Linked DNA regions of Oryctolagus cuniculus. The protein of the gene in region 1 binds, or shares a complex with, the protein of each later gene. Links are inferred from orthologs where the notes say so. Each region holds a gene or a part of one and is shown on either strand. Other genes may lie near its edges.

What was found. Proteins that work in one complex are often made in the same cells at the same time.
Region 2: MFAP1 (region 1) and ZMAT2 share a complex: the UniProt entries of both Homo sapiens proteins name them as parts of the spliceosome B complex. The link is inferred for Oryctolagus cuniculus from reciprocal best matches to the Homo sapiens genes MFAP1 and ZMAT2.
Region 3: MFAP1 (region 1) and SF3B3 share a complex: the UniProt entries of both Homo sapiens proteins name them as parts of the spliceosome B complex. The link is inferred for Oryctolagus cuniculus from reciprocal best matches to the Homo sapiens genes MFAP1 and SF3B3.

Annotation. Positions count from the first base shown.
Region 1 is NC_091443.1:66,693,898-66,698,662, forward strand, and holds part of MFAP1 (microfibrillar-associated protein 1), read right to left. Parts: intron 3,475-4,765; coding exon 3,345-3,474; intron 3,081-3,344; coding exon 2,893-3,080; intron 2,403-2,892; coding exon 2,294-2,402; intron 2,207-2,293; coding exon 2,046-2,206; intron 1-2,045. UniProt on the Homo sapiens protein: Involved in pre-mRNA splicing as a component of the spliceosome.
Region 2 is NC_091437.1:28,328,432-28,333,725, forward strand, and holds the start of ZMAT2 (zinc finger matrin-type protein 2), read left to right. Parts: upstream 1-1,922; 5' UTR 1,923-2,050; coding exon 2,051-2,068; intron 2,069-2,400; coding exon 2,401-2,494; intron 2,495-3,945; coding exon 3,946-4,069; intron 4,070-5,294. Other genes in the region: HARS2 (histidine--tRNA ligase, mitochondrial), read left to right, coding at 1-85, 456-515. UniProt on the Homo sapiens protein: Involved in pre-mRNA splicing as a component of the spliceosome.
Region 3 is NC_091449.1:56,664,274-56,669,038, reverse strand, and holds part of SF3B3 (splicing factor 3B subunit 3), read left to right. Parts: coding exon 1-130; intron 131-2,388; coding exon 2,389-2,544; intron 2,545-3,302; coding exon 3,303-3,458; intron 3,459-4,055; coding exon 4,056-4,199; intron 4,200-4,765. UniProt on the Homo sapiens protein: Component of the 17S U2 SnRNP complex of the spliceosome, a large ribonucleoprotein complex that removes introns from transcribed pre-mRNAs.

The sequences.
Region 1 (4,765 bases):
CACTGTCCACTCTGCCTGTCAAAAAAAAAAAAAAAAAAAAAAAAAAGTTTGAGAAATAAAAAGGTGAGTTATATTCATTATGTTTGCCACAGTGGGTACTGCAAATGTCCAGAAGTTGATTCTAGCTTTTGTGAGGTTCAGGTATGCTGTTACTGCTTAATTTTGCATACCAACATAGAGGTGCACAAACAGTCAAACGTAGAAGTAGCAGTTACTGGCTTTATGTAATAAAGGAAGCATTTATAACTCAAAAAAAAATTTTTTTTTTGGCATACCAATTCCTCCTCCCTAAAAAGCTTTATTAGTCTGAAAAAAAGTCACCGTGTATTTAAAGTAAAAGACTTTCTTTTGTGTAAGCTCATCATCATCATGTATGTGCTTACATGTAAACTAAGGGTTACTACTATCATGAATTTGATTGCAATGCCTGTTTTTAACCTTTTTGGGGGAGAGAAGGGTCACAGATCCCCCTTCTCTAGAAAAAAGCACACATACACTTAATTTGCCAAACAGTCTTAAACAGTGCATGGACTCCTTAAAGCTCAGTATAGGGACATTAGAAACTACAGGCTGAGGACATTTATCTACTGATGGTCTCCTTTTATAATCTGAAATTATCCTCTCACATTCCTGGAATGGGTGACACAGCTCAGAAATAATTTTGCTTTAAGAGAGTGAGTGAGCGGCCAGTGCCGTGGCTCACTTGGCTAATCCTCTGCCTACGGTGCTGGCACCCCGGGTTCTAGTCCCGGTTGCTCCTCTTCAAGTCCAGCTCTCTACTGCGGTCCGGGAGGGCAATGGAGGATGGCCCAAGTGCTTGGGTCCCTGCACCTGCATGGAAGACCGGGAGGAAGCACCTGGTTCCTGGCTTTGGATCAGCGCAGCGCCTGCCGTGGCAGCCATTAGGGGAGTGAACCAACGGAAGGAAGACCTTTCTCTCTGTCTCTCTCTCACTGTCTATAACTCTCTGTCTCTCTCTAACTCTGCCTGTCAAAAAAAAAAAAAAAAAAAAAAGAGTGAGTGAGGTAGATATTTAAGTGCTGTAAATCCTCCCACTCACAGTATGCATGCCCCTTTTCTGTGTAACTTTGCTGTTCCTCCAATCTACAGGTGGAGTCTATTTATCTACTCCCTTGAACTAGGATGGCCTGTGACTTGCTGTGACCAGATGTCAAGTCCAGATTTGGCAGAAGTATTTATGAGTTCTGGAACTTAAGCCTCAGGAGGCCTTGCTAACATCCACCCCTGCCCTCTTGTAATGCTGCTCTGAGATTGCTAGGAAAGGTAGCTACTCAAGAAATGAGGTATTCCAGCTTACTGCCAACATCATCTACAAGACTTGGGAGTGAAACCCTTTTAGACTTTTTGGCCCAGTTACTCCCAGTAAAGGAACTGGTCAGCTAACTTCCAAAACTGAGAAATAATAAACTGTGTTTCAAGCTTCTTAAATTTTGGGTTGGGTTGCTACACAACCAGAGATAACAACATTGACTGTGTGTGTCTTAACAGGAAACAAAAGGGAGCATTAGGGGCCGGCACTGTGGTGTAGCGGGTAAAGCCACCGCTTGCAGTGCTGGCATTCCATATGGGCACCAGTTGGAGTCCTGGCTGCTCCACTTCCGATCCAGCTCTACGTGCTATGGCTTGGAAAAGCAGAAGATGGCCCAAGTCCTTATGCCTCTGCACTTGTGCAGGAGACCTGGAAGAAGCTCCTGGTTCCTGGCTCCTGCCACTGTGGCCATTTGGGGAGTCAAACAGTGGATGGAAGCCCTCTGTTTCTCTCTGTCTCCAACTCTTTGCCTTTCAAATTGAGAGAAAAAAAAAAAAAAAAAAAGGCAAGAGCATTGGCTGGCACTCTATGATGGTGAACAAAGTATGTTTCTCCTCTCTGATTTCACTCTAATAAAGGAAACTCATATTCTACTTATGGGAGACTGACTTCAGCCATAAGATCCCTCAAGAAAACTAGAATGAAACTCATGGTGGATGCTATCAGAAACCTGTCCCATTAGTGGCATTAACTTTAGGCCCATCCTATCACTCACGCTTCTCGATCTTCTCTGTCCCTCTTGATTCTTTTTAGCTCCCGGACTTTCCATGCCTCATATTCTTCCTCATCATTTTCGTCATCTGTGTTCAGGGCATCCAGTGCAGCCAGGGACCGCTTGTTCTCCTCCAGCTCTTTCTTGGTCTCCTCCTCTACAATCTGGACAGACAGAATAGTTACGACTACTCAGACAAACCTAATTACATTATTTGCTCTCTCTCGATGCTTGCAACCATACCCCAGTACCTTGAGTGTGTATTTGCGCCTCTCCTCAGCCATGCGCTTTGCTTCCTGCTCCAGCTCCTTCTGCTTCAATGCTTCAGCCTCCCGTTCTTGAACTGTCACTCGGTCCTTCCTGCATTACAGAGGTCCTATTAGTTGCCCAAGTCCTTAGAGTAGAGCTCTTTGTTCCCTTAGATCTAGGCCCATTACACAACACCAAACAATCTTTGACTCTGTTACTTGTGAAGAACCAAAAGTGGCAGATATCTCAGGTCTTTAGACAAAGTTCATTCATCTTTGAGGACTGCCTGGATAGCAAAGAATCTGCTGGACTGTAACTGATAGGATTTCTAGTCATTAAAAAAGGAATATGAGTTTACTCTTCCTGCTTAATTTTCTGCTTAAAATTGATAACCTTGAGCAGATATGTGCTCTTTAACGGGAAAGAGAGATGTGAAAACAAACAGGCTCTCTGCTAATGCCAAGATATTCTTTAGCAAGGGTTATAACACTGGGCAAAATGCTTCCACTTAGTGCTTAGATTTCAGAAGATCATTGGATAGAAAAGAGGCTTTAATCCTGGTGTAACTAGTGGATTTGGACCAGGTTTGTGAAATACTTACTTTCGAATGAAGACTGGCTTAAGGCGAGGCTCCATCTCGTCTTCGCTATCTGTGTACTCTTCATACTCAGACTCTGATTCAGACTCCTCCCCGGAACGTCCCTCATCTTCCACCTCCATGACTTCCATCTCTTCGTTTTTCCGCTCCTGTGCTCGCTGACGCATCATGCCACGGCGCCGCTCTATTTCCTGTAAAATCATACATCTAAGCTAGCCGGTCAAATGCTCTTAAAAGGATTTCTTATTTTTCCCTCATCAAGCTCAACAAATTCTGATATGAACCAATGCACCTTAGCATCATTCTATTATTTTCAATCCTATCCCCACCCACCAGGGAACATTATCAGAATTTTGCAAAAAAGAGCAATATTGTGCCAACAGGAGCTTAGGAAATGAGCACTGGCTTCAATTTTTTCATGCACCCAGAAAAACTTCCCATTTTCCTAAACATACCTCATCATCTATTTCCTCCTCCTCTTCTTCACTGCTGTCTTCTCTTTCCATGCGCCAAGCATCTCCTTCTACTTCTGAGTCACTTTCTCCTACTACTTCAGGTTCCACTATTTTCCGATGTCGAGCCAATCTGAAAAATGGTATTTCCAAGGGTAAAACCAGTGTTACAAAAATGAAGGAGTATCAACCACACTTCCTTCGTCAGAGAGTACTCTGACATGTTCACTTTAACACTGAAGGCTAGTGATTGGGAAACTGAGATGCAGGTCAAAAAACCTACACCAGAATGTCAGAGCAAACAGTCAAGTAGAGTGTAAACCGTTAAACATATGCTGAGGCATCCTGAGTAACACAGCCAACTTATGGGGGTGCAAAGGGATATTTTTAATAGCTCAGGGTAGTTCATAATTACAATATTAGATCATAACACATTCCTTTCAATGACATCATATCTATGAAACTGGATTTTTGGTGGTCACTGTGATAAAAAGCAAATACAGCATGAAACTAATGGGAAGGGGCAGGCATTATGGTACACTGGGTTAAGCTGCCCCTCACAACACTGAGACCCCACATCAGAGTGCTGGATTGAGTAGCAGCTATTCCATTTGTAACCCAGCTTTCTGTTAATGTGCCTGGGGAAGGCAGCTCTCTGCTAATGGCCTGAGAAAGCAGAGAAAGATGGCCCAAATACTTGGACCCCTGCCACCCATGTGGGAGACCCAGTAAAAGCTCTAGGCTTTGGCTTGGTCTAGCCATGGCTAGACCATTTGAGGAGTGAATCAACAGATGGAAGATTGATATCTCTGTCTCTGTCTCTTCCTCTCTCTGCAACTCAGCTTTTCAAATAAATAGTTAAAAAAAAAAAAATAAGCAGTACTGGCATCCCAATCCCATATGGGCGCTGGTTTGAGTTCCAGCTGCTCCATTTCTGATTCAGCTCCCTGCTAATGCACCTGGGAAAGCAGTGTAAGATGGCCCAAGTTCTTGGGCCCCTACACCCACATGGGAGACCTGGAAGAAGCTCCTGGCTTTGGATCAGCTCAGCTCTGGCTGTTGCCGTCATTTGGGGAATGAACCAGTGATTGGAAGACCTCTCAGTGTGTGTGTGTGTGTCTATCTCTCTCTGTAACTCTGTCTTTAAAAAAAAAAAAAAAAAAAAGAGACTACCTTCATTAAACCAACACATCATCTCTGTGTCATATTTTCTTAACAATTAGCACCTCTGGGCCAGAAGTAGCCTACATTAAAAAAAAAAAAAAAGATTTATTATTTATTTATTTATTTGAAGGAATTACAAAGAGAGAGAAAGAAGAGAAGGAAATCTTCCATATGCTGGTTCACTCCCCAAATGGCTGCAATGGTCAGGGCTGGGCCAGGCCAAAGCCAGGAACCAGAAGCTTCTTCTAGGCTTTCCATTT
Region 2 (5,294 bases), on another chromosome or scaffold:
AGGCATTCCATTGGTGGTCATTATTGGTGAGCAAGAACTGAAGGAAGGGGTTGTCAAGATCCGTTCAGTAGCCAGCAGAGGGGAGGTAAGTGGGAGCAGGCAGAAACAGAAGCACAAGTATGTGCACCTTTTCAAGATTCTTTTAAGAAGTATGTATTGTATTGATGAGGAAAAACTCCAAGATTAATAGTTGATAGAGATGAATGAAGAAGACCCACCCCAGACAACCATTGTAGCCAGTGAATATTGGCTTGATGGGCAAAGAAGGAGAAACAAAATGGTGCTTTGAGACTGACCAACAAAGTAAACAAATCCCTTTAGTCTTGAGGATGTATGTTCTCCAGATTACCGTGAAGCCCACAGTACACGCAGAGTAAAATGAATCTGAAAAAACAGTGATTAAAGAGTGAGTATCACTTTCTAGTTTGTCACTTCAGGGGTCTCGTATGTTTCAGGTGGCTGTTAAACGGGAAGATCTTGTGACTGAAATTCAGAAGCGACTGTCTGAGTCTTGATCCTTGCTTGAAAGCCGTCTGCTGCTCTTTGTAGAAGAGATTTCATCTGGGCCAGAATTCCTGCTGGATTCCAGCATAGCTGGCCAGGATAGGTGGCAAGCACTTCTACCTCCTCCATCCTTCCTGGATACAGAACTGTAGAAGGCCTGAGGACTCCTGGGCTGGTACGGGAAGCTGCTCTGCATGGGTGCAGATGGCTGGGGTGTGAAAGACATTTTCCAGCTGTGGAAGCAAATTTGGAGTGCTGCTAAATGCCACCAAGAGGTGCTGAGGGGTTGCTGGGAGCAGGGCTCGGCTCTGGGAGAGCCACCTCAGGCTGAGGATTCTGAACCATCGAGATCAGAAGGCAGATACTGGACCTTCCACAGCAGCTTTGGAACCAGAATCTGGGGGATTTGTCCTCAACGAACCCTGGATATGTCCAAGGAGTTTTGTAAAGAAAGCAAGGAGAAGCAATGACTGCTCTTCGCTTGAGGGCGGAGATGCTGTCCTAAGGGCGGGAGTGCCCAAGTTGATCTGTCGTCTCCGCCAGCCACTGTTTATGATAGTGGGGTTGAATTTCATTGGTGGCTTGTCAAGTTGGAGATCTGAGCTTTTGGAGACTATTTCCTATGCCAGAGTCATGCTCCGACTATTCCATGCCCTGCTTTTCTACAGGTGGTTAAATAATTTGTTAAATAAAGTATTAAATGTGGTAGTTTGAGTGATGTGTTATCAAGGGATTGGCTTGCCTAGGTCATTGGCTTGTTTCAATTTAGACTGAAGAATTCTGTGAGCTAGAAGTAACCTCCCTGAGGTGTAGTCTGTGCACGGAGCAACCACAGCCCCTTCTTCCACTCCTGCCCCCCACACCCCGACTCGCTGATAGTCATGTTGCTAGAAATCAACGTGTCCTGAGCCATCTGCCCGAGTGCTTCACCTGATTATTGCTGATGATTGGCCGCCTTGTGTCCAGTCATATTGAGGAAATGGTTTCCTAGAGACTGAATGACCTATGATGTTCCATAGTTGAAGGAAAAAATGAGTTAACCAGAGTGATAGTACTGTTTCGAGAAAGAGAGCCCTAGTGCAAAAAGCGCTCTCCGTCTCTGCCTGGGAAGGTTCAGCCGTTGCCAACACTTCAGTGCGGTTCAGGGCCCCATCCCTAGCAGCTGCAGGGGAATGAGACATCTAAAGCCCCTAGTAGTAGTTGGGACTTAAGGTTTAGAAACTCTTGACAATGCACGCAAAGTTGATTAGAGAAAGAGGCATTTTCAGAACCTGAATTAAACGTGTCGGCTCTTCACCGCTTGTTTTGAAAGCCGGTACAAAAAACGTTTGCAGGCGCCCTTACTTCCGTGTTGCTTCGTACTTTTCTTGCGCCTGCGCCGTCTCCTTGGAGCAGAGGCGGGGCCGACAAGTCTGTTGTGAAAGCCCTCCAGTCCTTAGCCCGTTCAGAATACGAGACTCTAAGCTTATTGGAGGGCCGACTTGCTTTACGGCTCCGGGCCTCTTTTTACAGCATTTTCCGGCCTCCCATTCACTTCGCTGTGAAGATGGCGTCGGGCAGCGGGGTATGTGTTGTGTGTGAGGAGGAGGTTTTTGGGGGCGGTGGGGTTACTTCTCAGTGCTGAATAGAAACAAGCTCCTGCAGCGGACTGGCTTCCCAACACTTCGCGGTCCTAGGGTCCGGGTTCGAGAATTCCGTAAGGCGTGGGGTCTGTGGAACCGCGGAGTTCTCTTGGGTTGGGGTCCTGAGGCCACTTTAGCCTCTTGGTCTGGGCCGGAGAGCTTTCGCTTTCCAAAAATCCTGGAGCCGCCTTGGCGGTGCGGACGTGGTTCCTTCAGACTTTCTAGGGGTCCAGACGCGATAGCGACATGTCTTGAGCGCTTTCTTTCCCCACAGACAAAAAACTTGGACTTTCGCCGAAAGTGGGACAAAGATGAATACGAAAAGCTTGCCGAGAAGAGGCTCACGGAAGAGAGGGAGAAGAAGGATGGTGGGTGCCTGCTCTGTCCAGGGCTCGGGGTGTCGCGGCGGCGATGCAGTGGGCGGGAGAGTTGGGATGGGCTGCCCTCCTACAGGGTGGCACTTTTGGCAAAGTGGCCCGCGGCTTCTCCGCGTCTGAAATAAAGAGGTTTTGTGGTGCTTTTCAGCTCTGTTCTCTGTTTGCTTGTTTTCATTGGTTGGCTCATTTGGTGCTTTCCTGAGTTACAGAGACCGGGCTTCTTAGTAGTGACAGAGAAGCTCAGTGGACTGATTGGCTGGTGGGCATTACTGCTCTCAAAGACACCTTCTTTTCCTTGAGAGCTCTTCAGAGGGAGGAGAACATTCCTGGCGCAGCTGGGACTCTTAGAGCCGGAGGCAAGCGGGGTACTGCCTGGAACGTGCGATCCTTTGAGCTGGCGCTCGCTCGTGCTGTTTCTCTGCGCCTTGTGCGACATCAGGGACGTCGTGGATGCTCCTCTCCTAGATAGCGCCCACTTTGGGAAAAGAAGTGTCTGATTTTTTCTCATCTGTTTTCACGTTGTTCTATTTACTCCCACACCACTTTTCACAGGCCAACAATGCTGTTTTTGTTATTGTTTAACATTTATTTATTTATATGAAAGGCAGATTGACAGAGGGAGACTGAACCCTTCCATTGGCTGGTTCACTCTCCAAATGGCTGTAATAGCCAGGAGCTGGGAGCTCCCGCCGGGTCTCCCACATGAGTGGCAGGAGCCCAAACTCTGGCCATCTTCCCTGCTTTCCCAGGCACATTATCAAGGAACTGAATCAAAAGCAGAGCAGCCCAGGAGTCTAGCAGGCACTCCAGTAAGGGACGATCATGTTGCTGCTGGCAGCTTAGCTCACTGCTGCAACACAGGCCCCACCCTCTTGGTTTTTCTGTATTATGTACTTGGTCTGTGAATAGATATTTCCTAAATATTGGCCCCCCTTTTAAAATTTGGCCATTTGTGTGTTATGCGTAGGGTATCTGCCTGTAAAGAATTCCTGAGTGTCCTTGCTCTTTTTTTGGTTGACTTGAAACTAATAAACTTTCTTGGGTATGCCGGATAATTAAAGGATCTGTTCCTAACTATGTATAAGTGACAAATTATTCCCTCTTCTCACCGAATTCACTTTTTTTTTTTTTACTCATATGTCCTTGCTCTTTTGAAAAGGCTGCTTTTAGTGGGAATTCATAACTTTTCCCCTCAGTTAATCAATAAATAGAAAACATGTAGCTTGTAGATTAGCTGGCTTTAAAGTGGAGAAAAGCTGTAGATAGTAGGGATTGCTTATCATTTTTCTTGTGTTCAGATTCTCCCTCACTACTGCTGACTGCTGCTGGAGGTGCCTGTTGTGGCCTTTTTTCAGGAATCATTAATTTTGGGTTTAATGCATTTATTTTCCTTTCTGACTGATAACTGTAATATTGAAGGGACTTTCTTCATTATGTTTCAGGAAAACCAGTGCAGCCAGTCAAGCGGGAACTTCTGCGACACAGAGACTACAAAGTGGACCTGGAATCTAAGCTTGGCAAGACAATTGTCATTACCAAGACCACCCCACAGTCTGAGATGGGAGGGTAAGTGGTTTTTTTATCTTTCCAAACAGCTGTAGTAGGTCCAAGAAACTATATATATTTGTTTTAGGAAATGTTGAGGATCCCTAACCCCAGGATAATAACCTTGCTGCCTATCATTTCACTCTTTGGTTTGTTTTACTTTGTCCTTCACGGTCTTAGGTTAACAATTAGTGTCTCCAGAAGTGGCCACTCTGTGGCCTTGTTCATGTTGGCAGTGTAACTGCTCCTTACATCTTCAAAGGAATTCTTTGTTAGAAGAAGAAAGGAGGAGAGAGTCTGTTGATTTCTAGGAGAGAAATAGGTGGAACTAGGAGGGGCTTTGGAGCTGTTAATGGTGCAGAAAAAGGGCTGAGGTTCCAGACTGGCACAAAGGCTGCCGTTGTTATGGATTACCTGGTTGTGCACCTTCCTCCCTGACCCAGACTGTAACCTATAGGAAGAAGGTTCCCACAAGATCTTGCCATTCTTTTGCCACCACTGTTTCTCTGTGCAGTTAGGACTTCAAGCAGGAGGTCAGCATAGGTAGCAATGAGTGAAACTTCTTTGAGTGGCTATCATTCTTCTCTGCAGTAGTTCTGTCCGTGGATACATAAATTAATAAGGGAACCCAAGGTTTAGCAGCATAAAACAAAAAGTTCACAGTGTGTGTGGGTGTGGAATCTGGAAGTGGCTTACCTAAGTGGTTCTTGCTCTAGGGTCTTTCATGGAGCTACAAGCAAGGAGTTGGCTAGGTTTGCATTCATCTCGGGCTTAAGTGGGCTGAAGGAACTGCTTCCAAGCTCCCTCACAAACCTATGGTTTGGAGGCCTAAGTTCTTTCACCCTATGAACCTCTCTGTAGGACTGCTCACAACAGAGCAACTGCCTTTTTCAAGAACAAGTGATTCACACAGAAATAGAAGCCGTGGTTTTTAAAACCTAACCTTAGAAGTGACCAGTCATCAGTTTGAACATAATCTGTTTACCACACAAACCAACCCAGGTACAAATTGGAAGGAGACTACACAGGGTAGAAACACCAGGAAGGGGACTTATGGAGGCTGTTTTGGATGATGGCCACTACATGATATTAAGAGCTAAGGCTTTATGGAAATAAAATTTTAGACTTAAAAAAAAAAATAGAGTATTTGAAAGGCAGAGGGACAGAGAAAGAGGGAGATTCTATATACTGATTTACTCTTCAACTGCTTGCAATAATTAGGGCTAGGCCAGGCCAAAACAGGGAG
Region 3 (4,765 bases), on another chromosome or scaffold:
TGTGTCTTTCGTGAATGCCACTCTTGTGCTATCCATTGGAGAGACTGTGGAAGAAGTGACTGATTCGGGATTTCTGGGCACCACCCCAACCTTGTCCTGCTCCTTACTGGGAGATGATGCCCTGGTGCAGGTGAGGAGTCTCAGGGCTTACTTCCTACTTAGCTTGTGTTGTCCTTTCTTTGCCTTCATTGGCTATAGGCTGCTGTGTTCCTGTCTCTCTTCACTCTCACCTTTGTTAACATAGAGAACTGGCCTAAGAATTAGTTCTTTCAGATTTTGTTTTAAAAGATTCATTTTATTTATTTGAAAGTGTTACAGAGGGAAGTAGAGCCAGAGAGAGAGAGAGAAAAAGATTTTCCATTCGCTGGTTCACTTCCCGAATGACTTCAGTGTCCAGAACTGAGCTGATCCAAAGCCAGGAGCCAGCACTCTTGCTTTACTAGGCCAAAGCAGAGAGCTGGATCCGAAGTGGAGCAGCAGAGACTCAAAGCAGTGCCCGTGTGGGATGCTGGCACTGCAAGCTAGGGCTTTAAACCACTGCACCCCATCACCGGCCCTTATTTTATTTTATTTTATTTTATTTAAAGATTGATTTATTTGGGCCTGGTGCTGTGGCATAGTGGGTAAAAGCCACCACCTGCAGTGTTGGCATCCCATATTGGCGCCAATTCAAGTCCCAGCTGCTCCACTTCAGGTCCAGCTCTCTGCTGTGGCCTGGGAATGCAGTAGGAGATGGCCCATGTCCTTGTGCCCCTGCACCTGCATGGGCCAGAATCTCCTGGCTTCTGGTTTCAGATCGGCACAGCTCTGGCCATTGCGGCCAATTCGGGAGTAAACCAGGCGGATGGAAGACCTCTCTCTTCCTCTCCTCTCTGTGTAACTCTGGCTTTCAAATAAATAAATAAATCTTTTTTTTTTTTTTTTTTTTTTAATTTATTTACTTCATTGGCAGAGTTACAGACAAAGAAAGGGAGAGAGAGAGAGATCTTCCATCTACTGTTCGCTCCCCAAATGGCTGCAGTGCCCAGATCTGGGCCAATCCCAAGCCTAGAGCCAGGAGGCCCAGAGCTGCCTCAGGGTCTCCTGTGCAGGTGCAGAGGCCCAAGCACTTGGCCCTTCTTTATTGCTTTCCCAGGCCATAAGCAGAGAGCCTGATCAGAAAAAGATCAGCTGGGACTTGAGCTCTTGCCCATATGGGATGTCAGTGCTGCAAGTGGATGCGTAAACTACTACGCCACAGCGCCGACCCCAGTTCTTTCAGATTTTAAATAATTCAGCTTTTTGGCTGGCACCGCAGCTCAATAAGCTAATCCTCCGCCTGCCTGCAGCGCTGGCACACCGGGTTCTAGTCCCGGTCGGGGCGCTGGATTCTGTCCCGTTTGCCCCTCTTCCAGGCCAGCTCTCTGCTGTGGCCACGGAGTGCAGTGGAGGATGGCCCAAGTGCTTGGGCCCTGCACCCCATGGGAGACCAGGAGAAGCACCTGGCTCCTGCCATCGGATCAATGCGGTGCGCCGGCCGCAGCGGCCATTGGAGGGTGAACCAACGGCAAAGGAAGACCTTTGTCTCTCTCTCTCTCTCACTGTCCACTCTGCCTGTCAAAAAAAAATAATAATAATCCAGTTTTAGAATTTTGGTGCATGACATCCTTTCTGCCATTTCTATGTTACTGACACATACCATAAATGCTTTCATTTTTATCAAAGAGGGTTTTTTTTTTTTTTAAAGAAACTGTTCTCTTTTTTTTTTAAGATTTTATTTATTTGAGTGGTAGAGTTACAGATAGTGAAAGGGAGAGACAGAAAAAGTCTTTCATCCGCTGATTCATTCCTCAAAACAGCTGCAGCAGTCAGAGATGGGCCGACCTGAAACTAGGAACTTCTTTCAGGTCTCCCACGTAGGTGCAGGGGCCCAAGGCTTGTGCCAAATTGAACTGCTTTTCCAGGTTATAGCAGAGAGCTGGATTGAAAGAGGAGCAGCTGGGATTAGAACCAGTGCTCATATGGGATGCTGGTGCTGGAGGTGGAGAATCAACCTACTGCACCACAGCACTAGCCCCAATAGTTTTTTTTCTAATACATTATTTTTCATCTTCCTTTCTTTTTTGAAACAGAGTTAGAGAAATTTTCCATATGCTGGTTTACTCCCCAAATGGCTGCAATGGTTGGTGCTGGTCCAGGCCAAAGCCAGGAACCTGGAACTATATCTGGGCCCCTTATGTGGTGGGTGCCAGGCTCTTGGCATCTTCCACCACCTTCCTTGGTGCTTTTGTAGTTTACTCTTCATGGGCTTCACATTCAATGTCTTAACATCTCCTTTGGGTAAGGATGGGGTATCAGATCTGATAGGTGTTGCAGGTTGTTGTCAGTGATGAGTGTTTTTGCCTCTAGGTGTACCCAGATGGCATTCGGCACATACGGGCAGACAAGAGAGTCAACGAGTGGAAGACTCCTGGAAAGAAGACAATTGTGAAGTGTGCGGTGAACCAGCGACAAGTGGTGATTGCCCTGACAGGAGGAGAGCTGGTCTATTTTGAGATGGATCCTGTATGTTATTTTTATCATCCACTGTGGGAGTTGTAGTCCAGGCATCTATATTATATTCACAAAAAGTATTGAGGAGTGAAAGTGTCCATTAGCAAACCAGGCATTTTTATAGAAAAGAGGAAAGAATAAGGTGATACCTAATTCTAATTAGAATTAGAAATATCTTCTTAGCAATGAGACAGTTGTCTTAATGCAGTTCGCACTCTACTTTTCCAACTGAAGTTTGGCATAGATTTGTGTCTGCAATCTGAATTTGTGTCTGAGTTGTTCCTTTGCTCTTCTAATATGGAAGGATGGTAGATAACTCTGTCTCTCTCTCTCTCTTTTTTTTTTTTTTTTTTTTTTTTTTTTGCTCTTAGGAAATCTCCAACATAGCCAGTTTTCATAGTCTTAGTGTTTGTTACAGCTTTGTGTTTATCACATATGAATTCCTTTCGCTCAAGGTTTTCTCATGAATGAGCAGTTTTTGTTTCTTGACAGCTGGTTTGCTTAGAAAATTTGTGGTACATTGAACTTGTCAAAGGTCTCTTGATTGTCTTGTCAGTGGGAGAAAGTAATTTTGTTTATGGTTAGCTTATGAAGTTCAATCTTTGGCTCTTGGGTTGGGAAATTCTTGGATGTCTCTATTTAGAGTAATGAAAGAAAGCTGAAAGAAACCTTAAACAGTCTGCTTCCCTTCCTGTCTCCTGGGTGTAGGGTTTGTGGGTGAATTAGGGTATTTCTTTCGCCCTGTACTTTGTGACCTTTCCTTTCTCTAGTCAGGACAGCTGAATGAGTACACAGAACGGAAAGAGATGTCAGCAGATGTGGTGTGCATGAGTCTGGCCAATGTGCCTCCTGGAGAACAGCGGTCTCGTTTCCTGGCTGTGGGACTGGTAGACAATACTGTCCGAATTATCTCCCTGGACCCCTCGGTGAGTGATGCCCTTGTATTCAAGGATCTTCTGGTTTAACCCGAGTACCTGGCCTGTGCATGGTGTCTCTTGAGATTAGCAGGACTGGGCTCCACAGTCTATGTTGCTATGTCTATTGGTTACCATTGCAACATAGCCCAGGCATCCTCCGCTGTGGTTTGAGGATGCTCAACTGAGACTATGAGATATTTCTTTGGCATAAGCTTTGGTTTCCCTGTGTAGTTTTTTAAAAATCAGCAAAGAAGCTTAAAGAAACCAAACAGTTGCTTTCCCCTCTGGATATAGGATCTCGGGCTGAGTTGGGTATGTTTTATCCCTCTGTGTTTGCATAGGAGCAATTGACTTGCTCCAGGGCTTTTGATGGCTTTGAGGGAGGTGTCCTTTGCTTATTTACTCTTCCATTGTATGTTTTAACATAATAAGGCATGTTACTCTCAAAGCTTATGCCCAGATGTCCCCCCCCTTAGAAATCAGTCTTGGGGTTTTCTCTGCCCACTAGAGTACTTCAGTCCTAGAATTAGATTCCTCTTAGGGATGTCTTTCTAAAATTGATCATTTATTGTGATTTTTATGATTTTCTCTCCCTTCCCGCCCCAGGACTGTTTGCAACCTCTGAGCATGCAGGCTCTCCCAGCCCAGCCTGAGTCCTTGTGTATTGTGGAAATGGGGGGAACGGAGAAGCAGGATGAGCTGGGTGAGAGGGGCTCTATTGGATTCCTATACTTGAATATTGGGCTACAGGTAAGAAATCCAGAAACTCACATTGTTGGTATCAGCCTGTCTGTAGGTTCCTTGTACTCCATTGTCCTACACAGGCATTTTTGTGCACTTGGTATCAGAGACTCAGTGTAGGAAAATGAATGGCATTGCTCTCCATTCCACTTTTCTCAGCTCTTTAATTAGAACAAATGAAACCTGAGGAATATTTGGAGAGAGAAAAAGTATTTGTAGAGCGTTCACATCTGACAGCGCTTTGCAGTTGCTACGAAGCCATTGCATTCTCAAGGTCACCTGTGAGTCCCATAGTAGTCAGCTCTTGAAATGAATTACCTCACAGATCACAATTGGCTGCGTTAGTAAGGACCTATACGTGTTCCCTGTTGTCAAACTAGCCTGAGCTCTTCTTGCCAAAGAACAGCAGAAACCTAATGATCAGAGTCGAGGTTTTTGATAGCGTTTTTTATTTTCCTTAATGCTTATTTACTCAGCAATTTTATCTAGCCCAGGTACTTTCTGGTTTTTAATTTTACTTTCTAATCTAGAAATCCTCAAACATAGAAATTAGAGACACTAGGAGCCAGTGCTGT